Arabidopsis thaliana: one gene and its partners. The protein of the gene in region 2 interacts with the protein of the main gene of each other region in a pairwise test. Each region holds a gene or a part of one and is shown on either strand. Other genes may lie near its edges.

What was found. Proteins that work in one complex are often made in the same cells at the same time.
Region 1: the proteins of AT2G05160 (region 2) and AT2G33710 interact in a two-hybrid assay, tested with the Arabidopsis thaliana proteins (one large-scale study listed by BioGRID).
Region 3: the proteins of AT2G05160 (region 2) and WOX13 interact in a two-hybrid assay, tested with the Arabidopsis thaliana proteins (one large-scale study listed by BioGRID).

What each region holds. Positions count from the first base shown.
Region 1 is NC_003071.7:14,256,800-14,264,732, forward strand, and holds AT2G33710 (Integrase-type DNA-binding superfamily protein), read right to left. Parts: upstream 3,941-7,933; 5' UTR 3,854-3,940; coding exon 3,673-3,853; intron 2,948-3,672; coding exon 2,508-2,947; coding exon of another isoform or gene 2,472-2,507; exon of another isoform or gene 2,241-2,471; coding exon 2,166-2,240; 3' UTR 2,010-2,165; downstream 1-2,009. Other genes in the region: AT2G33720 (AP2/B3-like transcriptional factor family protein), read left to right, coding at 6,977-7,288, 7,522-7,933.
Region 2 is NC_003071.7:1,856,088-1,866,025, forward strand, and holds AT2G05160 (CCCH-type zinc fingerfamily protein with RNA-binding domain-containing protein), read right to left. Parts: upstream 5,978-9,938; 5' UTR 5,635-5,977; exon of another isoform or gene 5,531-5,634; 5' UTR 5,379-5,530; intron 4,876-5,378; 5' UTR 4,845-4,875; coding exon 3,997-4,844; intron 3,920-3,996; coding exon 3,495-3,919; intron 3,420-3,494; coding exon 3,282-3,419; coding exon of another isoform or gene 3,226-3,281; exon of another isoform or gene 3,203-3,225; coding exon 3,100-3,202; intron 3,021-3,099; coding exon 2,924-3,020; 3' UTR 2,456-2,923; downstream 1-2,455. UniProt on the Arabidopsis thaliana protein: Possesses ribonuclease activity in vitro.
Region 3 is NC_003075.7:16,873,512-16,881,707, forward strand, and holds WOX13 (WUSCHEL related homeobox 13), read right to left. Parts: upstream 3,941-8,196; 5' UTR 3,657-3,940; coding exon 3,434-3,656; intron 3,010-3,433; coding exon 2,512-3,009; intron 2,389-2,511; coding exon 2,303-2,388; 3' UTR 2,012-2,302; downstream 1-2,011. Other genes in the region: AT4G35540 (POLLEN-EXPRESSED TRANSCRIPTION FACTOR 2), read left to right, coding at 428-2,011; DAW1 (Transducin/WD40 repeat-like superfamily protein), read left to right, coding at 8,051-8,089.

The sequences.
Region 1 (7,933 bases), about 12 Mb from region 2:
CAATGTTCATCTTTTCTTGGGTAGTAAACAATACTACTTATTTTCATCCTCTAGTGTAAAGACTTTTGTAATGCGCTGCTTTACAATTATTCTTTGTAGCTTTTGTTTGATTCTGAATAGAAAGAATTGTTATTATAAAAGAAAAGTAAACAAATTTAAATTATACTTTTTATTCAAGTTTTGCAAATTCTCTTGTTATATTACAACATGTTTGTTTTCTTACTTAACGCCGCAAACACAATGATCAGAATCAAAACGGTTTATAGTGTTTTTTCCCTGCTGTGCACACATAAGTTTACAAGCAGAGAAAGACTGCTTTAATGTACAAACGCAACCGCCATATAGACAGGCAACAGGAATTGCACATGGTACTTTGTTTTTGCAATCTGAGTCTTTGTGACATCTTTTGCTTTCTGTCATCGTCATACCTTCAAATAGATTATCCAAAAGAAAACAATACTAGATAATAATTTTTAAAAAGTTGTAAGTGTTCAATTTGGATAAACCAAATGTATTTGAACCGCCTAGTTAAGCATAACAAACTGATATGAAAAACCGTACAATTTTTTTGTTAACATTAGTTTTATATATCCTAAAAACCAAAAATCGATTTATAATCCAATAAAAAAATATGGCTGCTTTGCCAATTCAATTGATTCTGATCTGAAACTAAAACCGCAATTTTTGTTTGTGTTGATTACTTGATTACTGTTTTTAAGAAATCTTTAAGCTCACAATAAAGAAACTAACAAATTGAAAATTCCTAGATAAATTAATTCATTTGAAAAAAATGAATCTAAAATTTTCATATTTTACACCACAGCAAATAGCACTTGATATTGAATCAACATTAAATAGTATTCGTTCTTTTACTTTTAAAAATCCATTAAAAATCAGGGTATCACCTATATGTTATAGTCATTAGAACATAAATATAAATTATATATGTGTGTGTTTCATTGTTATACATATTAACACACTGATATATGAGTAAATGAATTATAATATATTTGTATGAGTGAAGAACTCACAGAAGGGTGATACAAGGAACAAGATTAAAAGAAGCCTGTTTTCTTTGAGTTCATCTCTATATTTTTTCTTTCTTTTTTCTTTTTGTATTTTGTTTGTTGTGATTTGTGAGTTATGATGGTAATTTGTGTTCTAAATTGGGTTTAATATATTAGGATAGTTTTTATCCTCTTTTATGAGGTCAATACATACAAATGATTTTGGTATTAAAATGTTTAGATTTCATACCTATATTATTTATTATGATTAATTGAGAAACACTATATAAAACAATAGCAATTTATGATATCATATACTATTATTGTTTAATGAATCTATACGTAAATTATTATGTTTTGATGATACATAGCATTTAACATAAATAGTGTAGATTTGATAGTGTCCACATGTAATCATCTAAGAGGCATATTAGTTCTGATTTTAATTTTGTGATCGCGATTCTTTGTGGATTTGTCCATCAAATTACGTGATTTTTTTTTTTTTTTGCAAAAAACAGGTTAAATGGTTCTGATTACTCAATAAAACACACAAGATGTGAATTTGATTTTTAAAAACATAAAACATATTTTCACAGATAATAATTTTCATGAATAATTTTTCATAATGTTGAACCTTTTTCTCCATTCAGTTATTTAACTGGTGAAAGATACACTTATATGAAATAATCGCAAATTTGAATAGAACAAAAAAACTTTTACTACATGTTTTGTTTTATACACTAGCAGTCGATATGTGTATCCTATATAATAATTTATTTATAATAATTTTACTTGAATCGTTTTTTAATCGTTTCATATGCAGACTGTTACCTAGTTTAGTTTCATTTTTATTTACCAACCATTTCATCATTCAACGCGTTGAAAAATATATGAGCATTGGATAATAAGACAGATATAAATGTAAGTACATATTTAAAAAAATTTAGCTTATGTTTTGGAAACTCGAACACCCTCATCATGTGTATACCCTCTATATTTGTTTTTGAACTTTTTTTTTTATCTCTTTCGTACGTGATACAAAAGGATAAACTAGCAAGCTACTTCGGAGTGGAAAGACATAAAGCACCATGTACGAGCTTTTTTCTACCTGATATACTCGACCCAACCTGATCCGACCGGTCCGGTCAACACATTATCTCATTTGATCGGTCGATCAGGTGAGGCATGTTGTTGTCTCCGTCGGTCATCTTCTGTGGATATAGTCGTCATGACCTATCAGGACGTTTTCCAAGCTAAGTAGTCTTCATCCCATTCTTGCATAGTCATGTTCAAAATTTATATATTTTTCATCCATAAGGCCTGATTCCTAGCTAAATCCACTCCATAGACTCTTTAAAGACTACCAAAATGAAGTCGTAAAGAGATTAAGCGCCTAAAATGATCAAAGCCGGAGGTCAATGCGTTTGATAACTTGGACGAAGAGATATTTATGCCATTAACATGTTATTTTCGTCGTTTGTGGATACTAATGTTCTTCACGTTTTCACCATCCTCCAAATTTGGTCTTAGCCCTTGATGATTCAAAGATGAAGACGAAGAAGACAGCATATTCATGGACAAGTTGGCACTGGAATCACTACTTCGAGATTGAAAGTGGCCATATTGATCAAGAAGTATGTCAGGAGCAATTGGTGGAGGTGGACTAGGTGGTGTCACGATAATGCGATCATGGGAAGTAGCGGGCGATGGATAGAGTTGAGTAGGGTTGACACGAATATGCTCGGGGAAGTTAAGCTTGGCCTTGTGACCTCTAAACTCAAATGCAGCTTTATCATACGCTAAGGCGGCTTCTTCTGCAGTGTCGAACGTCCCAAGCCACACACGAGCTGCCTTGTTCGGGTCACGAATCTCAGCCGCCCATTTTCCCCACGGTCTTTGCCTCACGCCTCTGTAGTTTCGTTGCCTCGAGTTACTTTTTTCTGTAGAAAAATGATGAAAATTGTAAGTTCACTCTTGTCATGAAAATGGTGACTTAAATGTGACGTGCATGTCTATGAATATAACGTATACTATCGGTGTAGAGGCATTTCGTAAAGATTATTAAAGGGCGTTTGAATCATATGATATGATCATTCTACATCAACTTTTATTCCCCTCTTCTACATCTACTTATGAAATCTATATATTAGGCCAAACCTACATTTATACATTCCTCTCTCTCGTAATTGGTAATTAACTATATATATACTTATGTATCACACCAATGATATAATTAGGATATAAATTAAGTTTGATCATTTTAAATACGTTTTCCCCATGTTACAATCCTAAAACTCTCTCTGGCTAGTTATCTCAACCAAAATACGACCATTGCAACCAAGCCTTGCCAATCATATTTGTCCGAAAGCCAAATATGATCAATTTTGTCCAACCAATAAAGCCGACAGGTTTTTTCAAGAAAATCTAACCATGAACATTCATTAAAAAAATCATATAGTAAATTGAACTAATGCATTGTGGCCATACATGAAATTATATCTCTATTTGATCAAGGCCATGCTGCAGCCACTAAAGGATTACCAATTGCAAAATCCAAGATTAAATCATTCCTATGTGTAAAGAGAATCACCAATGGAAAAGACAATCACTCGAGTTATAAAGTATAGCAATTAAAATTATTGGAAAAAGGATCTGATGAAATTACCTTGAAGAGTAAGCGACGAAGATTGATCATCAATGGATGATGGGATGGGTTGACCAGTGAGTTCAGAGACAAAATCAGACACATCAGATTCCGACAAAGTTGAGCAACAACACAACTCTTTTTTCTCTTCTCTATTTCCGGCCATTGATTCTGGTGATAGAGGTCTCTTCCCGCTATGCATTATCCGATGATGTCAATTATGATTATTTTTATTTTATTTTTGAAGTCAAAGATGGGTTTGGGTACAAGCCAAAGAACCAGCAAAGATGTCTATTCTCTGCATCTATGTTATATATAGACGCACACGCATGTATTTGTTGACCAATATTATAGAGAGTTTGTCTAACCTAGAGGATATTTTGGTCATAAACATTACACACACTTTTTTGTTCCTTAAAAACAATTCTTTGTATTCATCTCTTTAATTTTCCTTAACAAACGTTACATTACGGACTGCATCGACCGACCCACTATGTAGTTGTATTAATGGTTTGTGTTAACCCAAAATCGATTGCGTGTCTCAAAAGACGAAAAAAAAAACGACTGTCTTATACAAAATTCATTAATTATGATCCAAGTCTTGTGTTAATTACGGTCAACATTTTAAGTTAAAATTAATTATTTATTATATATGTGGTGGATTTAAATAATTATTTTCATCCTGAACATTAAAGGGTTAATAATTTACCTAAATGACTCACCAAAAAATTAATTTACCTAAATGACCATGATGAATATCTAATTATTTAGGTAAATGAGCAAATGACAAACATATAATCAAAGAAACACTTTAATATATATAAACATGTAAACACCAATTATTTAGGTAAATAATGTATTTTCTATCATTTGACTTTAATGTCTTTATATATATATATATATATATATATATAGATACATATGTGTTTTGCACAATCATTTTATTTTAATAAACAACGTACTGTATAAATCACATAAATAAAATAGCATAATATTTTTGCTAATTAAAAGTCGCTTATGTCATCCAATACAGTTGAGTGTGTTTTTAAATTGTTTTATGTAATATATAAAAGTTCATGGTTAATTAGGATGAATATTCAAAATTAAAGGACAAACTCTGTTTCTATTCGCTACATATATAGTTTTACGGAATACACTCTGCACAAGTCATCATAAAACAACTGGAATGGAATATGCGATGAATCTCTTTAATAATAATATGTGGGATCTGACTGTGGATTCTAATCTAATATTTCTATTATAAGCAATTTGGACGATTCGTGCCATTTTAAAAATGGTTGAGGGATTTTTTTATGGGGTTGAATATTGTCATTGCGCCTTATCAGAAACACAAAAACAAAAAAAATATTGTCATTACATGCATGATGTTGATGAATTATTTTTCAATCATATAAACTTGTGGTTGAAGAAAAAGCACAATATTTAACAAACAAAAACATAACCTGAAACAATATAAACTTACTTTCTAAATTAATAAAACATTTGACCGAATGGGGAATCTAAAAGTGTGTCATATAAGATATTGATTTAAAGACCTAGATGACGTATGGGCTTACATAATATGTGGTCAACATTGAATATTATAGTCAGAGCAAACTTCGCACGAACAAATCAACTCCAATCTCACACCAATAGCATAAGACCATGCCGTAGTCTATATGATTGCCACAAAAGAATTATTCTTATTGGCCAACTTTGACCTAGTGTTATATTTGTATTTATATCTTTTAATTAAGTATTTATTGAATTATGTATATACATTGATTGTTGCATTCATCTTTTTTACTTAGTATGCCATCTATTCAATTAGATGAACACATTGTAATACTATAATAAATTACGTATGTTTAGTTACGATAGTGCTTTAATTTTGATCTAAACCACATGATCTAGTCAGAACGCTTTGATCGATATTTGTTTGTGTTTATTTTTTTTGTTGTTGCTAAATTGTAAATATCAGTAAGGAATGAAAGTTGGGGCGTACAAGAAGTTAGACCTATAAATATAATTGCTACTTTGCCAAAAAGGTATAAAAACAAGGGAACATATACAAGAGAATTTTATGAGATTCAATAAAAGAGCTTTAGTGGAGCCACACGGTTGCATCAGTCTTGAGAAGCTGCGCAAATGTCGTCTTGCTGAGATTGAGTTACGGAGTAACTTGTATATTGTTTTGGAGTAACTTGTGCTTGGGTTCAATTGGTTTACTAGTACTTTATGTAGCAAGTTATAGAACAGTTCATATCTGTATATACAGTTTGTGAGGGTGGCATTTCCACAGTCTCTATTGGTATTGTATGTTTATGAGACAATTCATGTTACGTATATGAATTGTTACAAAACTTTATGTTGTGACCAGCTACAAAATTAGTTACCAAGTCAATATCCATGGCCACGACAACACAATAGCGGCCACTATACTAGTGAACAAATCATCGGTAGCTATACTTCTTGGAAATGGTAATGAATACTACAAAAATAACCCCACAATATTCTTAAGTTTTTTGTGTGGCTACACGCCTACACTAGCTTAGTCATGGATAAAGTCGTTTACATATGTGATATGTCCGCCTAACCAATGAGGATTCTGATTTCTGAATCGGGCAGATTTGTCCGGAACACGATCTATGCTCATGTAGGTCCTCATCACTCTTGCAATGATCTTTACCACAATTAATTCACAAATTCAACTTAAAATCTTATAAGTTGAAAAAGCTCCGATCCTCCCTCTTTGTTCACATTAAAACAAAACAGAACTTATTGAACACATATCTGCATGACTGCATTTTAAAAAGAAAACTAGCTGTATTGGGCTATGTTGTGGGCTTCGCTAGCCCATGTAGGTTGAATATCTCTTGTCATAGTAATGACCATCTATATTGAAATAAAATTCTTATGATAACACAAACCATATTAAATCTGAACATTGATTCACGCAAATAGAGATAGTTGGCACCAAAAGTCTAAGACGCACACTCATCTTCATAGGAAACCCAAACCCTAAGAAATGGAAAATTAACAGCTTCATAGTTCAAACGCAGAATAAAAATAACTACAAAGGTAATATTCAGTTTTCACATAAATCATTTTCCTTTTTTCTATAACAAATGGATTTCCTTTTTTAAACAGGAAAATACCTGAAAAAGTTAAGGCAAAGGTGGCTACTAAATTATTTATATATCTACGTTCCCTTAGCTCTCTGAACTTGAGTCTAAGATAAAGAAACTCTCGACGACATCTTGAGAATCGAACGAGAATGATCCAAAATCTGCAAAAATTACCCCAAGACCTCCAATCCTCGGCAATGAAGATGCCTCCTCCCTTTTCTGCGTCGAAGACTCAATACTTGTTCCACGACGAGTCATCGGAAAACTCTAAAAAGAGTTTGGTCTCCACAACTCTTTCTTTGTCGTCTTGTGAAAACCCTAATAAGAGGAAGATGAACTCTGACGAAGTTCTCAATATTTCTTGCATACCAAGAGACTACAAATTAACACAAGTAGAAAGAAAGATTGCACGAATGAGGAATCTCTCGTATCAAGAAAAGGCAGAGGACGAATGGTACGGTGTCTCAACAGAACTAACACTCTTCAAGGATCCGTGGATCATCAAAAAGGTACTAACCACTAGCGATCTTGGCCAGATATACAGGAGAATCCCTAATATTTGAATCAATATAGATGTTCTGGACATATTCTTAAATTATTTCATATCGATCTGATTTTTTTTTTTTAGTCATAAAATATGAAAATATTTGTAAATGTAAAATTTAAGAAACGCTTTTCAGAAACCATTTATTTACTAAAAAAAATATATGACTAAAGAAAAGAGTTTTGATCCTTTGGTCAGGTTTTTCACTTTGCTTCAGTCTTGGATATGGCTCCCAACTCAGTCTCAAATACTCATTGCTTGTTGGACACGGAGTCACCAGAAAACGCTGAAGAGAGTTTGGTCTCCCTGGATCTGTGTTTCTATGACAAAACATGGCCACATGATCCCAATGTTGCTTACAATAAACCAACGTCCGAAGAAGCAATAAACCTGGCGTGGATGAGGACTATGTCGAAGAGAGCAAGAAAAGAAGAGGAGAAGTACTACGTCTCGACAGAACTAACTCTCCTCACCGTCGCTGACCCATGGACCTTGAAGATGGCAATGACCAAAAGCAGTATTGGCAACCTATACCGTCTTGTTCTAAAGGCGAGCTTTGTAGACATCCACATTCTGAGATATCTCCCTTTGGATGATCAAATGATGGTCA
Region 2 (9,938 bases):
ATATTTTGAGACGGAACAAGCACGGATTTTACAAAAACGACGTGTCCAACAACAAGATCAAGAAACTCCTCCTCCATCTACTTCATTTGCACAATATATCATAATGTTATCATCATAATGATAGCTATCATGACTATAGTATGTTGATATGATGATGATGAAGATAGTATGATGATGATGGTGATGATAATATGATATTATGAGAGGGTAATGATGATGATAATATTGTGTTGATAATGAATAAATTGATGGGTTGATGAAGTCATTTGAAAAAAGATTGATTATATTCAATCTTTTTTAGAGATTTTGGTTAAACTCAAAATGATATCGGTTTAGAGATTTAAGTTGGTTTAATTCATTTTAACCACAATAGGTGGGTTCTCATTGCAACCCAACTCATTTGATCTATCTAATCATTTGACCCAATAACTTATTTGAACCATCACTCATTTGAATTAAAAATTTCAACTCATTAGAGTTCATATTGAATTATATATATATATATATATTGTTATATTAATAGATACACAAAACGTTAAGTACTTCCTTTTATATAGATTTGTATCTTTAAATTGCATATATTAATCGTATTTTTTTTAAATATAATTGAGTAAATTCAAAAGCATAAATTAATTGGAGAAAAAAACATAAGTAAAACTAATGGTAAAATTTGTAAATATCCTAACAAAATTTGGATGTTTAATCAAATAGATTGAGAAGTTATGTGAGAACGACATATAAGCATGGCGTTTTCGTTAATCACCCGAAAGTATAAAGTTGTTTTAAGAAAATGTTTCTCAATTAATATATAAGGGATATTGGCAAAGAGAGACTATAATTATAATTACAAAATCTAACCACATAATTAAAATTAGAAAATGTAATCTCGAGGAAAAATCTATTGGCCTATGTCCAACCAAAATAAATTATTAAGGGTCAGGCTGATTTAAATACAACGTTTGCAGTTATGAATGCGGGAGTCTGCGGAAGCGGACGGTTGTAGTTTCAAATGTTATGTTACATTTTGAACTACTAGTTTAATGGTTAAAAATTGGAGCGTTTGCAAGAGTTTTATGACTGGTTAACCAGCAGGTGTTATTACGGTTAAATTAAAAATAACAAAAAAATATAATATATAGTAATACAAAGTATTAAAATGCCAAAAATATTATATTATTATGATAAAATGTGAAATTTAAATATAACGAATAATAAAATACAATTATTCCTAATTATTCAAACTAATTAAATTTTATTTTCAAATATGCATTTGGTTCATAAAGACAAATTATCAAGTAATATGCAAATTACAAACAAAAAAAAAAAGAATATGACAAACTAAAAAAAATATTTTCAATTTTTGGATCTTCCGGATAAATAATATTATTACAATACAGTATCTTATCATTTTTCAGTTTGGTTTGATGCTATGATTTTGATAGAGAAAAACCTAGCGTTTTCACGATAAAAATCATCAACATATTTGGAAGTTTTGGAGAAGAAGCTTACACTGAAAAATATTACAGATGACATTGTTGATGTATTGTGTAAACAAGGAAAAAATTATTACAACTAAGATGTCATTTTTGTTCTTTAAGGCCTAATGAAATTTATCTCTGAGGTACGGTTACTCTCAAATCTCCAATGATCAATTCGATTTTCGTCCCTATTTTTTTTGTTCTTCAATGTGCATCTATTATCTTTTTTTTGGTTCAAAAGCTTATTTCCAAACTGAATGAAGTCTTAGCCGAAGGAAACATCGAGGAAGAAGGTCAATGGAAGAAGAATCTTAAAGAAGAGACATTAAAGATTTTTGAGTTTCTTCCTCAAAATATTCAAGGATCTTATCAGATTTACTAAGCGTTATTGTGGATCTTAATCAATAACGAATAATCATTTGAGTACGTTGTATACTCCTATGAAAAAAAACAAAAATTTTAATTTTCAAATTCTGAAAAACAAACAAACATAGTTTTTAGCTTTTTATGTCTCTTCAACATATGAATCAAGTATGCATGTGGAAGAACAAAATCAAAGATAATAACTCCATATAACATATTCTAAAGAATCTAAAATGACTTTAACTTCTCCAGAATTAGCACCTTTTAACTCTTTTCACTTTTATTTTTAACGACTCAATAGATGTTCATAAAGCAAAAAATTAGCTTCCAAAACTTATAAAGGCTATATAGATCTTACTAAAACAAAAATCAACAAATGCATTGTGTTCTCAATCACTTTCTAATGAATCTCTTTTTCTATATATATATATCATGAATCATGAAAAAGAACATTCAATACTTACATACAACTTAACAAAATTACATTAAAAAAAAAGTCTACTGCTTGGTGCGGGTTTCGCCCAAGTAATAATAAAAAGTTATACAAGAGCGCCTTCATTCATTGATGCCTTGATGGCAATATTTCTAAATTTTGCGGAAACCACTTTATAAATGTTTAAATTTCAATTATTATTATTATTATTTTATATATATACAAGAAAACCTTTTTTTCTTAAAACTAAAAAGGATATGATACAATGAAATATGATGAAGTAGCATAAAAAAAGTTGAAAAGAAAAAGAACAAATAGAAAATTAACCTTCATAAAACATTCCAAATGTTATTATAATTATTATTATACCCCTTTACTTAATGTTTCTCAAACTGCTCGGCTCTTTTTGTAAACCTGAAGCTAACAGCTCTTCTTTGTGTGTTTCTCTGTCACTTTTTATTTCCTTTTCTTTGTGGTGTTATTGCTAAAGAACCTAAAAGTCTCCATGCCATCGATCAGTCTAAAACCGAAAGAAGATAATGAAAAAACAAATCTCTTTTTTGCCGATTGATTAGATCTTTGGGGATTCCCTCTAACCTTTATGCTCCTATGTTTTTCTCTCCCTTTGGTTAGGTATCAGTCTTTCTCTCTATGTAACCGTTGAAATCTCCTTCCCCGAAAGGGAAGAAAACGGACTCTCGGGTAGATTCAGGACTTGACTGTCCAACGATTCACAATGAGTTCTCCTGAATAAAAACATCATATATATGATTAAATCAAGATTACAAAAATCACAAAATGTGTTTGTTAAAGATCTAAACATACCGATCATTGTCTCTGTAGTTAGTGGTTATGTTCATGACATTATCTTCCGTGTTCAAATAGTCCAGTAGGTAGCTCAACCGTTCTGCTTGTTCCTCTTGCTCCGCTACAAGTAAAAAAATCAAGCAACTAATAGTAAATTTCTAAACCTATGATTACCAGGTTTAAGTTGAAAGTGTAATTACCATTTGATGTTAACTTGAAGTCATCCGAGGAGAAGCCGAGGTAGGAGTAATTAGTAGGTAAGGACTTAGAAACTGATTGTTCAGGCTCACTAAGAAATGGCTTCCTCATTCTTGAGCTCTCACTAACCCGCGGTGGCACTAAAAACAACACAAAAGAAAAACCATTATACAAAAGATTAACACACACATAAATTGATTTTGTTAATTACTTACATGTGTTCATCTCTATGTCTCTCTCAATAAATTTAGAGCCATATCGCATGCCGTGTAGAGGCTTGTAATTGTCGAGGTATCGACTAGAGCGTGATTTTTCCCGGTAAGGCTTGACTAGAACACGTGCATTGCAAATGAAATGAGGATTGCCTTTAGCAAGAATGTGTTTAACTGTTTCTGAGGAAGCAAATGTTACAAATCCATACATTCTTTTCTGCTGGCAAGGAATCCTCACATCTTCCACATGTCCATATGAGGTGAAGTAGATTGAGACATCATGTTCAGTGAAACTACTCTCTGCCGGAAACGTTAAGTAAATCTGTCTAGAACCAGCAAGGATTGCTCCATGTTCATTTCTCTCTCCAGTGTATTCCACAAACTTTGATGCATCCTCTGCTAATATAACTGAATGTTGCCCATGAGGCCTACAAATTCAAACACTATAAGAAAACAATACTTTAGATTGAAATAGAAAGAGTACTATTATAACTAATTAACAAACCTGTCGACGAGGCGAATCGTGTTCTTCAAGCGAGCAAGAAGCTTGGTGAGACTATAGCCAGCTTTGCCATGTCTTTGTGACTCAGTGAGATATCCTTCAGCTTGAAGAGTCCTACCGTATTTTTCGTAGTACATCATTGGCAATGAAGCTATGGAGATTGGAGCTCCTCTTCTTAACTTGAGTAACTCAATGATCTCACCTTCTAGCTTCTCAAGAGATACAGGGGAAACAACATGCTCTTCGTCACTTAGGTTGTTGTTTGGATTAAACATCTGAGCAAAACTCTCCCTCTCCGGTATAATCTGCCCGTGGAAGTACCTACAGTTGTTGCCGTGTTTGCAGAACCCTTTGTTGAAGTAATGGCAGATTTTTACCGGGAACTCGGGTAAACTCGGGGATCTTCGGCTAGTTCGCAAAGGCAAACATTGACGTTCTTGAGAGAAGAACCCGTTAGAGAATTCAGGGCTGGTCAAAGGATCCTCAAAATTCAAGAACTGAAGATTGTTCTGCAAGGTATCCATCTCGGTTGAATTCTCCCAAAAACCGGTTTTCATGGGAGGAGAAACCGAAACCGAAAGAGGCGATGAACCGGTGAATGATCCAAATTTGGGAGTAGGAATGTGATCAGAAGGAGGGCTGTGGTAATGATGAGAATTCCTAGCTAACTCGTATTTAACGCAATTGATGACAGAACACATAACAGAATCAGGACAGAACGCGAGACGGATCATGTCGCGGTTGCCATTTTCTTGCATCAACAAGAGATAACCAAAGATCTTTGCTGCATTCTCTGGTTCAAGTTGTTGGATTCTGGCGTGCACAACGTTCATTGATTCTGTGAAATTCATCTCTAAAAAACTTCTTATCTTAAAAACTTCTCTGCAAAGCAAAATCATTCACAAACTTTCATTATTATTAGTTCCAAAAGATTTAGTCAAAACGATATGAATCAAAAGTTACATAAACTACAAGTTGATACCAAAAAGAGGTAGAAGAGTGATACTCACTCATGAACCCACATGTTCCATACTTTACCCAAAAAAATAAAAATTGCATTGTAAGTCAAAACAAAGAAAACAAAATCTGCAATGTTATGGCTAAGAAGAACAATGAGCAAGATCTAAATCAAAATTATACACAATCAAAAACAACAGTTTGACCCCACACACAAAAAAAAAAAAAAAAAAAAAAAACATTAATCTTCTAATCTCTTATACAATGCAGACAAATGCAAACAAAGTTAATGATCTTTGTACATAACTGTATTGAAAAAACCGAACATGATAAACTACATTTGTCTTGAAGAAGAAATGTTTTTTTTTTTTTCACATGGAAACAAAACATTCACCAATGATTAGAGAGAGGATCTACGAAAATTTTACCTTGGTGAAAAATTATCCGTCAGCAAATGATTTTCCGAGAAGGATTAGTCATAATCTCTGTTAATCCAAAATACCAGATTATAGACTCAAATTATCTCTCAGTGTTGTTGACGACAATCGTAAAAACATGCAAGAGAATTCTTCAAACTTTTCTGAACAGAAAAAAGAAAGAATACAAAAACCATAAAGAAGAATGCATTGAGATCAATCATTGAGCCAATAGAGAGCTGAAAAAAAAGAAAACAAAACAACTCACATTGATAGATTCATTGTTGAATAAACTAAAACATAAGAGCGTGAGAGCCACAAACGAAAGAGAAGAAGAAGAGGGCAGAGTGAGAAAACAATTAAGAAAAAACTTTAAAGAGATCGTGCAAATTTTTAATATATATTTGCAGAGTTTTAGTAACTGTAAAACAGATAAGATCTCAAAGAATCTTGGATGGTGGAGAAGAAAAACTAGGTTAAAATATTAATTAATAACAAATAGTTTTCTTGTTGCGAAGAATATTGCATAAATAAATTTTTAATTTTGGTTTGACAACTCGTTCTATTCAATATTGTTACAGCGAATATCGGGAATTTAGTTCGAAAAAAACCTGGAGACTTTAGTTAATTAATGGCTAATCACGATACGTGTATTAATAATTTTTAGCCGTGGGATCGAGATGACTTTTGGTGGTTTTGACTTTTGTTATTCCTTTTTTGAGTTAATGGACGGTTCAGATTTCAAACGTTGAGAATCCACGTGGCGTCCATGTTGTTGTGTTTGGATAAGGATAATGCATACAACTGTGACCGTTTAATAGAAACGTAAGGTCGCATGGTCTGGTTAATTGGTTACGGTTTTGGAGGAAGAGGTTACGGTTAGGGATGAACCCGGTCTACACGGACCAATGAAGTGATCTTAGATAAGTAGTATCTAGTAAAATCCGGCTGATACCTGAATCCAAATATAAACAACTGAGATATCAATAATCTCATATAGTTTTATGCATTTTAATCCGCGTTACACCGCGGGACTATTTTGTTTTTTAAGAATCAAAATTTAATTGTTTAGTCGATTAAAAATATATATAATGTAATATTTTGTATTTTCTGAATGTACAACTTTTATATCTGTATATTATTTAATATACAATTACTATGTTTGATTTTTACTGTTAAAAAATATAGGAACAATAACGTACAGTTCATTAATTTAAAATCTACGTTATAACTAAATAATTTAAATTTAAATTATATTTATTTTATTAATATTATTTGTTAGATTCTGACCCGCACAATTACTATGTCATATTTTTTAAAATGTGTTGTAATAATTTTTTATTAAATATATGATTATTTTGTTGTTTTAGTAGTATATACTGTATTGAATAATTATAATGTACACATAAAAATATAAAATATTATTTATGTTTGCTTATGACATAATTATAACCATAAGTCTATTTTTGGAGTTTGAAACTGAAGAGTAAATTAGAAAAAAAATCTTAGATTGAAATATAATATAAGTTAGATTGATCTTAACAAATTATTTATATAGTTATAGTATATATATATATAACCTAAACTATATTAGTTGGTTGAAATATTTGAAATAATAATGATTTTAATAGTATTTTAAAATTCTTAACAATCAAACGGTCGAACCGAGAACAAACTGAATCAAGTTAATGGTCAGGTAGATTTTTATTAAACTTGTAAACTATCAAACCGTATATAAAACCATTAAAATGATTAAATACGTTTGCGAGAAATATAAATATTTAGATATAGGCGTAATTCTCATTCAATTTTATCATGTTCCATTATATCTTACATGTTCTCCAATTTATATCTCATAAGAGAATGTATTTCTAGTATAAGACAAATTTTGTATTCCGATTAGAAACAGAACGTGACGGAAGCAAAAATTCGTTTGGGACAAACACAAATGTAATTCATAGTATATTTTTATATGATATGATATAATAAAAATATTACAAAATTAATTGACTTCTTTCTTCTTATTGTTTTATATTTTGTTCATAAATATTAAATTACATTTGTTTGTTTCTAAATTTTAACTATTATAGAGCATACTATAATAACATTTATTATTTTGAACATTTTTATGCTGTATAAATTGAAAACACATGTTACATATTTGATTGCAAACTAAAATTTGCTTAAATTGTAACTTGTTGTAATCTAAAATTTGCTTATTCCATGTCGTTCCTTTTTCGCAATTTCTATTCTCGTTATATTACATTAAATATCATATTCCGAGTTATTTTTGCTTATCGTTAAACACAATACCAAATACAGCTGTAACTTTTGGGGATTAACATATGCTTTGTTAAAATTTGTAAACATACCATAAATTAAAACATGAAAACAAATTGAAAAAATAAATGATCTATCAACTATAATATGTCATACTCATACATTTGTTCATGTGTACGCGCACATATATGAAAACAAAATTATATTTACTATTTAATATAAATAATAAACACCGACTTGATATATTATCTCAAATCCAGAAATCCTCTGGTTGATATAATATATAATTAATCAAATATATATTTGAATTTATTTGATAAACTTGCTTAACTTCAAGAAACGAATCTTAACAAAATCATAAAACTAAGAGATAGTTTAATGTGAGTAAATTTAGAGAATTATTTTGAACTAATTGCAAAAACTGTGTAAATTAAAAAATAGCTTGTAATTAGTTAAATTAGTCATCTTGATCTAAATTCAATAGTTTCTTAAATTTGCATTAAAATTAAAACATTGGTATTTAAATTTATTTTAATGTTATTTCAAAAAGAAAATAATCAATTTTAGAAGAATGTGTATTCCAAAATCTTGTAACAATATGATACAAAATAAAATAAATTATTTGATTTGAAATTGAATAATTTATCTGGCTCTAAATAAAATAATCTTGAGATATAGAATTATTATAATTCTTTTTAAAAATATATTAAAAATTTGGGTTAGTTATATATATTTAAAATAATGAAACTACCCGTTTAAAAAACAAAAAATATATTCTAAAACTTTAAATCATTGAAACTCTAATGAAATGTTAAAATATTTTAATATACCTTGGAAATATTTTCTAGATATTTAGAATCCAAAAAATAAGCTTTTGAATAAGCTGTATTTTAAATGATATAAGTATTTCGTTTAGATTATATACGACAAATATAATAAAAAAAATTCATATCTGAAAAATTATAATTGAAAAAGTCTTTTTTGTCATGTACACAAATGAGATTTAATCAGCATAGTTTTGTTAAGGAAATTATTAAATCTAAACAAAATGATAATTTGTTATTAGATTGCCATATTCGAAAATATCTAATAATATCTTACGAAAATAATTTAGTTAACATATATGCATTTTTGAATTAAACATACAATATATTTGCATGTTTAAAGATATTCCTATATTTTAGTAGTTGTTAATTTACTAAATTACCCATGCAAAAATTTATTTACTTAGTTTTAAACTACCCTTACAATGTTGTAGTTCACAAAATGCTTCCTAATTAATAGTATAGATAATTGTATTTTGATTGTTATATCTACCCTTACTAATGGATTCGAGTCTATAACCATGGGTTCCAGTGCACGAGATCTTGTAGACCATAGCATGTTACATGAGGAAAAAAAAAACTTGTAGTTGTCACATAGCTGCCCACCAGGTATAACTTCTCGTATTACAATAGACCCAAACTCGTCTTACCACCTAATCCCGTTCAGTCAAACTAAACATATCTAATGAAGTTCACATGTGGTATACAGTCTCGTATTACTGACTCAAACCCGTCCTACAATCTAACGCCGTTAAGTGAAATTAAACATCTTTTTTTTTGTTATTTTTGTTTTAATAATATTTTAATTTAAAAGATATATAATTCAAATTTATTTAAAATTTTTCTTTTAAGTATGTTATTTAATTGTTATAAATTCACTGAACTGTAATATTCTAAACCCATCCCACCATCTAATCAAGTTCGGTAAAAGTAAACATTATATTTTAATTTTTGGTCTAGTAATATTTTTATAAAAAGATTTATAATTCAAATCTATTTAAAAGTTTTCTTTTGAAATGGTTATTTAATTTTATAGATTTCATATATTATATATATTCTAAACGTTTTTTCGTTAAATATTCTAAACATTTTTTAAACTTTAAATAACTACAATATTTATTTTTAATAAAGTATAATATTAATAAAGTTCTAAGATTTCTCCTTTTTAAAAGTAATTAGAATTGATGGAGATATATTAGATAAAAAAATACTAATAATTAGGAATATTAATTAATTGATAATAATTAATGTCAATGACATTCCTTGTAAATAAGTCCTAACTAAAGGATTTATTTTACAAAATGGCTGAAAAATGTATATGTAGATAAAAAAAAACGGTTTATATAGCGATAAAATGTCCGTCTAGATTCTTATGAGTTTTTTGATGTTTCAATTTTAGTAAAATTAATGAACTAAATCGGTTTAACGATTTTAGCTTTCAGAATTGGTACTAAAAAAATATGACATT
Region 3 (8,196 bases), on a different chromosome or scaffold from region 2:
CACACAACTTCCTCGAAAACACAGTAGCAATCTATCAAAAAGGACGAAGCAAGGATTCACCCAACGAACGAAAGCCACAATTCTTCGAATTGATCAAATCTGAAACCGGCTTCTCTTACCGGTAAAGAGATAAAAGACGGCACTATGGTGGAGGAGACAACAAAAAGCCAAAAGAGAGAAAATAATACAAACTGTGTGGCGTCCTAAATAAAACACCCTGGCGTTTTTGTTTTATTCATATTAACATCATGCCGTTTTCATCTCGACAATATAAAAACCTAGCTTATTTTTAAGGAAAGGTCAAATCTTAATTAGTTTTGATTTCTCTCTCCAGTACTTCTCGATTCGCCGGCGATCCGAATCTCATTCTTCTGCTTGTCGGAAAAAAAAACCCGTAATTTAAAGTGTGAAGCTTTCGGTTTGAATCATGCGTTGCAAGAGATGCAATGGAAGCAACTTTGAACGCGACGAAGACACGGGGAATTCGTATTGCGGTGGATGTGGGACATTACGAGAGTATGATAATTATGAGGCACAACTTGGCGGCATAAGAGGACCTCAAGGTACATATATACGAGTAGGCACCATTGGTAGAGGCTCTGTTCTTGATTATAAAGACAAGAAGATCTATGAAGCCAACAATTTAATTGAGGAGACAACAGAAAGATTGAATCTTGGTAATAAAACTGAAGTGATTAAGAGTATGATTAGTAAGCTTACTGATGGGGAATTTGGACAAGGTGAGTGGTTCCCTATTTTGATTGGAGCTTGTTGTTATGCTGTGGTAAGAGAAGAAGGGAAAGGTGTTTTGTCTATGGAAGAGGTTGCTTATGAAGTTGGATGTGATTTGCATCAGTTAGGGCCTATGATTAAGCGTGTTGTGGATCATCTAGATTTGGAATTGCGAGAGTTTGATCTTGTGGGTTTGTTTACCAAGACGGTTACTAATTCACCGAGATTGACTGATGTTGATAGGGATAAGAAGGAGAAGATAATAAAGCAAGGGACTTTCCTGATGAATTGTGCGTTGAAATGGTTTTTGTCGACGGGGAGGAGACCAATGCCTTTGGTTGTGGCTGTTTTGGCGTTTGTTGTTCAAGTGAATGGTGTGAAGGTAAAGATTGATGATTTGGCGAAAGATGCTAGTGTTTCGTTGACTACTTGTAAAACGCGGTATAAAGAGTTATCTGAGAAGCTTGTGAAGGTTGCTGAAGAGGTGGGTTTGCCTTGGGCGAAAGATGTTACTGTGAAGAATGTTTTGAAACATTCAGGAACTTTGTTTGCTTTAATGGAAGCCAAGTCCATGAAAAAGAGAAAACAAGGGACTGGGAAAGAATTAGTTAGAACTGATGGATTTTGTGTGGAGGATTTAGTGATGGACTGCCTAAGCAAAGAATCTATGTATTGTTATGATGATGATGCTCGTCAAGATACTATGTCTCGGTATTTTGATGTAGAAGGTGAACGTCAGCTTAGTTTATGTAACTATGATGATAATATATCGGAGAATCAGTTGTCTACAAAGTATAATGAATTTGAGGATCGAGTTTGTGGTGGGACTCTTGCGAAAAGAAGTCAGGGAAGTAGTCAGAGTATGTGGCAAAGGAGATCTGTTTTTGGAATGGTGTCAACTGAAAATTGGTGGAAAGGGAAATCGGAATTGAGTAAAAGGCTTTTGCTCAAAGACTTGTTGGAGAAAGATGTAGGGCTTGAAGCTTTGCCTCCTTCTTACATAAAGGGTTGCGTTGCAGTTGAAAGACGAAGAGAAAAGATTAAGGCAGCTAAGTTGCGGATTAATGCAATACAACATCCTTCTGACAATGTTAGTGAAGGTGCGTTGTCTTTGGAGCTTGAACATAGCAAGAAGAAAAGGAAGAAAGGATCTGAAATTGATTGGGAGGATTTGGTTATACAGACTCTGGTCTTACACAATGTGAATGAGGAAGAAATAGAGAAAGGCCATTACAAAACTTTGTTAGACTTGCATGTTTTCAACTCTGGAGAGGTTTGAATTGAAATGTTTTTCTCTTGGAATTTTTTTATTTCTTACAGTATAATTCATTTAAGGATGTAAAAATCGTTCTGAATGCAGAAATTATCAAAGCAAGCATCACAAGACGATTCAACAATCCATGTAAATGTTTCTCTGAAAATGATTAATAAGATAAACTACTTGTTTCTTTAATAAGCCCTGAAAGAAACAATTTAAGAAAAACAAAAGTCTAATACTGCTTATGACTGACTACCAAATCCATTTCATTGATCTCTCTGATAATTAGAAGTTTCCTCAGCTTGTATTCAATCAGCCTGACATGCCATAATCTTCAACATGATCATAAAGGTTGTAACTTTCCGCCAGTCCCATCTTTCCAACAAGATGCTCATCCCCTACAAACACAAATCACAAGAAATTATCTGAGACAGACACAACTTACTTGACTATTTCTTCAAAGCCAATGTCTCTGTTTTTTTCAGTTACGTGTGAACTAAAAAGGTATCTTTGTTACTTACTTGGGTTTGATAGAACATCTAGCAAGTGAAGGTCTGAGCTAATCTCAGGGCTCTGAAAGCAAAGATCTTCAGGCCTAGGAGCAGTAGTTGTTGCTGTTGTTGTCCCTAACCCATTATTGTTGCTATTTCCATCTGGAAGACCAAGAAGACTCTCTGGCCTCACTACTCTCTTCTCATTCAATGCTTCAACTTCAGTCTCTACCTCAGACTCACCATTATTATTTCCAGAAGAACCTCCACCATGCTGCTTCCTCTTGGATCGAGCACGTCGGTTCTGGAACCAGTTATAGACATTTTGTTCAGCAATCTGGCCGTGTTGGCTCAGCTCTTCTGTTATGTCTTTGATCTTCTGCTTGCTCGGTGTTCCCGTGCCTTGATCGAATATACGTTCCAGAATCTGAAGCTGGACTGGCGTAGGAGTCCACCTCTGTCTAGCTGTCATCTTATGACCTAAAGATGACATCATTGGGTCTGCATATAGTCCTCCCATTCTCCCTCCTGTTACCAACAACAGACAAATGAGCAGAGTTGTTAAAAGTTAAACTAAATAAAAAAACTGAAACTTTATATCTCAAGAACACATCATCAAGCTAAAAACACCTATTTTGGTGGGAAATTCTCGAAGCTCAATTGAAAGATTCAAAGGAGTGATTCTAGAATTCCTCAAGAACCATTATTTTCCTTATTCTTAGCTCAAAAATCCACGAAAAGGATTGGTCTTTGAATCAGATTTAAGCCAACAAATGCTTAAAAGGCAGAGAATTTTCAATTACCCATACACCAAAGTGAAGAAGAATCACTAAAAAATCAATTAAACCACACAAAAATTCTGAATTTTTTTAAAAATTTCAAAAGGAGTCCTTTTTTTATCTTTAGATGAACAGAGAAGAAGAAACTAAATGATAGAAGAAAGGATAGAAACCTGCAAGATCTTGTTGAGCAGTGAGAGTTTTATGCATCTCAACAAGACGCTCACAAATGGTGCCGTAAATAGCAATCTGTTTCCTGAGAGTTTCATACTGCTCATCGGTCATCACCTTCACGTACATTCCTCCTCCGGCGCCGGAGCCGCCATTAACGTCGATCCCTTGAAGATTAGAAGAGTGATGGTTATTGGGTTGTAGCTGATTATCCCATTCCATCATCTCTTTTGTCAGAATTTCGCTCAGAAGATTTCTCTCTTTCTCTGTGTGAACGAAGGAAACAGAGCAAAGTCAGTGCTTTTTCGGGAGTAGAAGGAAAGGTAAAGGCAGAAAAGGACAAAAAAAACTTAATTTATGTTATTCTTTTGTTCTATATTGAAATTATAATATATAGTTTCATTACAAAGGAAAAGACAAATAAGAAGACGGTAATGATTCTTTGACAATCGTTAAAGGAAACTATTTAACCAACGGTTATTTTAGTTCCTAATTTGGAAATTGACCGTTTGAGATTTCACATACGGTTAAACGGCTACTTCCATATCTGAATATTTACATTACCATAATCTAAATGTTATTTGATTTATAGTTGGAGAGAGCCGTTGCTATTTTATTTTATGGAAATAACATGTCTGGATGCAATCGACTTGATACAAATATTAACAGCTAGTTTGATCGTATCAATGAAGTAGATTGTTAGTTTTTTTTTATAGTCGTTGGTTGGTACTTTTCAAGAAACTGAATTACTTTTTTCTTTTCAATATCCATTCTTCAAGTTATGTATTTTGTTTACACCGAAAAGTTTTTTCCTTATGCTTTTTTAGTCCAATTTGTGTTATATTTTTGGGTCAACAGTCAAAATGGTGGTATACAACTTTTTAAAAATGCGATAAAGAGCACTTGTGGCAAAATAAATAAACACTTTTAATTGCCTCTTTTCCTGACCGATTAACTGACATTCCGTTGATTGATAAATTTTGGTTGCGATCTAACTTTTCTGACACATTCTAGGTTATATTTTTCTCAATTATTCTATAGAAGAGTATTAGCTTCACCGTCTTTTGCAATCCCTATCATCTAATTCAATAAGAAACCTTTAAGAAAAACCAAAAAGAAAAAAAAAATTGTTGGGCCAGTCAGGACTTATAAGTTAAGGAGCGGCGACCCAAAAAGAAAATAAATAGTTTCCACGTGTCGTTTAAACAGTAGAATTTGTAGGTGGTCGGTGTCCGCCGCCCATGTTCCACGGGCGCACTTAGATTTTAATATGATCTAATCTGACTCATTAATTGCCAATAAAATTGATCTCTGTCGAATAACCAGGCCAAACAATGAAATGTGACCATGGTCGACAAAAACATGAAGATAAAGAAAAATATAATATGTGGTCATGACTCATGCCGTATCGTAGTCGGGGGCGTAGTAGTGTTTTGTCGGAACGTGTAAATAATTAGCTCTTCTACTTAATTCTGTGACTTTTTTTTTTACACTAATACACAAATTATTACTTTAATTTTTCAGCCAAAACTTGAAATTTATACTTGCTTCACAATTCTATTCAAGTCATTGTCTTCGTAACCTATACGTAAAAATTATCGGAACTTTTGTTTATTTAATTAGTATCGTCGTTTTTTCTTTAAATGATATAACGCCTCATCGTTTTTTCCGGAAAGTGTTTTCGTTTCGGTAATTTTTTTAATTGTCAACATTATGGAAGAAAATAATGAGGTTTGCATGTGCGACCCTAAGTCAAGTATCGAGACCAAGCAGAAGCAGTCTATCTAAATACCAAAAAGTCCATATTCACACAAATATAGATACATTTTATTTATTGTCATTAGATGATAGGAAAATTAGATTAATACTCACAAAATTTAAATATTCTAATACTTGAATTATATATATATATATATATATATATATATTACAGAAAAGAATAATTTACATTAGATGATTTTTTGATTAATTAAGTTGAGATTTTTTACTAACAAAGCTCATTAATTTAAAAAATTTACCAGTATAATAATCATTTATTTTTAAAATTATACATTAGATGATTATTTTCTAGTTTATGTCTAGGAGTAGAACATTCAACCACCGGGACAATATAGAGACACAAACGGAAATATCCAGAACAAGACATTATTTACGTAAGCATTATCAATCGACCAAATGATAAGGAATTTAAATATAGATGAAAATAGTTGCATACAAATTTGTCCATATATATATACATAATCTTAATTACATGACTGACTTAGTGATGAGCCATATTATAACCCATTGGATTCTCTTTGGCCCAGCTTTCTTTGGATTCTTCTTTTAGATTGGAGAGTTTGGTGTACCTATAGCTTCTCTTGTCTTCTATCCTTATTTTATGCTTTCTTCTCTGTTTCCTATCATTGAAATCTATATTCTTAATCCCGGTTTACAAATCTACTTACTGTTGTTTTTTACCCTGTTGACCACTGCTAATTATTATTATACGCTGAATCTTTCCCTACCAAAGAAAATAAATATATACGGTGAATCTTACTTAAAAACGTATATATATAGTAGGATTGTGAAAAGAAAAAGAAAAAAGCTTCAGTATGAACAAAACTTGAACTCAAAGTGAAGACAACTTACTTATTGCACCAGTACTTAAAAAATGATTTATCCAGGCCTATATTTATTATCTCCTAACAGCCCATCTCAGCCCACCAGGTTGACGGTAGGATCAATTGTTGTATAATGGATTAGTGTTTTTTTTGTTTGTGTGTCATTGTGTGCTGCTGTTTACTCACCATCTAGACGTTACAAATGTGTTGATTTTGATCAAATATCGAACTTCGCACTAATAACCGAATCTCTGTTAAAGTTTTCACGTTTTTTGGTGTCTCGGTTTTTCTAATGTCATTACAGAAACCGTTTCACTAGTATTACTTATCTTGATCTTGTTGTATATATTATCCTTCTTGATGGTGAACGAGAACAACGTTTCACTTTAAAAGGAGAATAAGATATTTCAGTTTTCGTTAGGATGGCTGTAGCTTGTAGAGTTGTAGTTATCAATTCAAAGTGGATAAATAAAGTTGAGAAATCCAATAATATATAAAACAAAAGCTATTCAAGGAAAAAAAAAAAAACCCACAAAGTTAAAGAGACCGTATCAGAGGAATGATATATTCAGGATGGGTCTAACTTTGGTTGTTGCTTTCACATACAACCCATTCTATTACGCTAAGAATCGCAATAGAAAATGGCAATTGCAAAATATATATTTTTAGCTTTTATCAAAAAGACAACAAATACTAATGTTTATGAGTTTTTCTTGTATTTTCATTTATTTATAGATCAAAATAGTCGGTGGTCAGAGCACTCAAAGAAAAAGGCAGCGTCATCTCACACCGTCCATCTACATATCGGACGTCTCTCGTGAGACCACGTTAAAAAGGGCAGATCAGATCACCAACTTCATCTTAGAGGGACCCCTATAACAGATTAGCACTTGCCACGTGTACTCTATTGACTTGTTTTCCACAACCTGATTCACATAAAAGAGAAAAGAGTAGAATATCTATCAATTTAGCTGATCTTCTTACCAAAAACAAAAAAATATGATTAATCTGATCATTATAAACACACAAAAACATTGAATCTTTGTTAGATGCGAAAATAATTTTTTTTTAATTAATTAGATTAAAGTTTCTATGTAAATTTTTAATTAATCTGGCCTATTGAGCTTTCACTCTACTCAAAAAGAGACCTGCAAAAGCTCCAAGTCATGTGTTGGTTGGATGAGTTAATAAGGACCATTGTCCTACATATGTACTCTTATCGCATGGATTAAGATTTATGTGGTAGTAAATTATTTTATTTTTGATCAATAGAATATCCGCGACGCTAGAGTTTTATCAGAATTCAAAAATACTTTTAATTAGTGGATATTTAGATTTCATTTGCAGGTTAATTACAAATTTCCGACTAGAATACAACAATTTTAATTCGTTTTAAAATGTTTATTATAGTTTAGATATTATTTTGTCACGAATACTATATATATGCCACCTATGTGTTAAAATTTTCATAAATTACCAAGAAAAAGTATGATTTTGTCCTTTTGAAATGAAAATCAATCAAAAAATTTATATACACATTTGAATATCTAATGAATTTTAGTTGAAATTTTGGAAAGACACAATTCAGTAATAAAATGTGTATTTCTTTGATTTTTTTTGTTTTGTGTGGTCAAATTCGTTGGAAATACTTAAAAATGTGTTGAAAATTGAAATGATTAATCTTAATTACATCACATGAATATTGACTAAAATGAAATAATAGTATATGATATGTTGCCATAAATGTTATGATGAATTAACTTTATAATTTTCGCCGTTTATAATAAACCGTCAAATCAAAGGAACCGTTACTTCTCAACACTCACTTCTTCTTCTTCTTCTTCTTCTTTTTCTTCTTCTTTTTCTTTCTATCTCTCTCTATCTTCTCTCTAATGTCCGAGGAATTGAACCAGTGATTTGGTGATCTCAAAGACTCTCAAAAATTTCGTGTTTGATCTTTGTCTATTTTCATTTGTTCGCTTCGGGTTATAAGTTAACTTCACCGTTGGATAAAAGATGTTCGTGAAGAAGTTGGTCGAGATAGCAGCCAAGAAGGTACACAACGATCCGATAATATGATTTCTTCTTTCTAATCTTCTTCGGCTATTGGGTTTATGAGAGATTCAGTGAACAATGATGGTTCAAAAGTGTGATTCGATTCG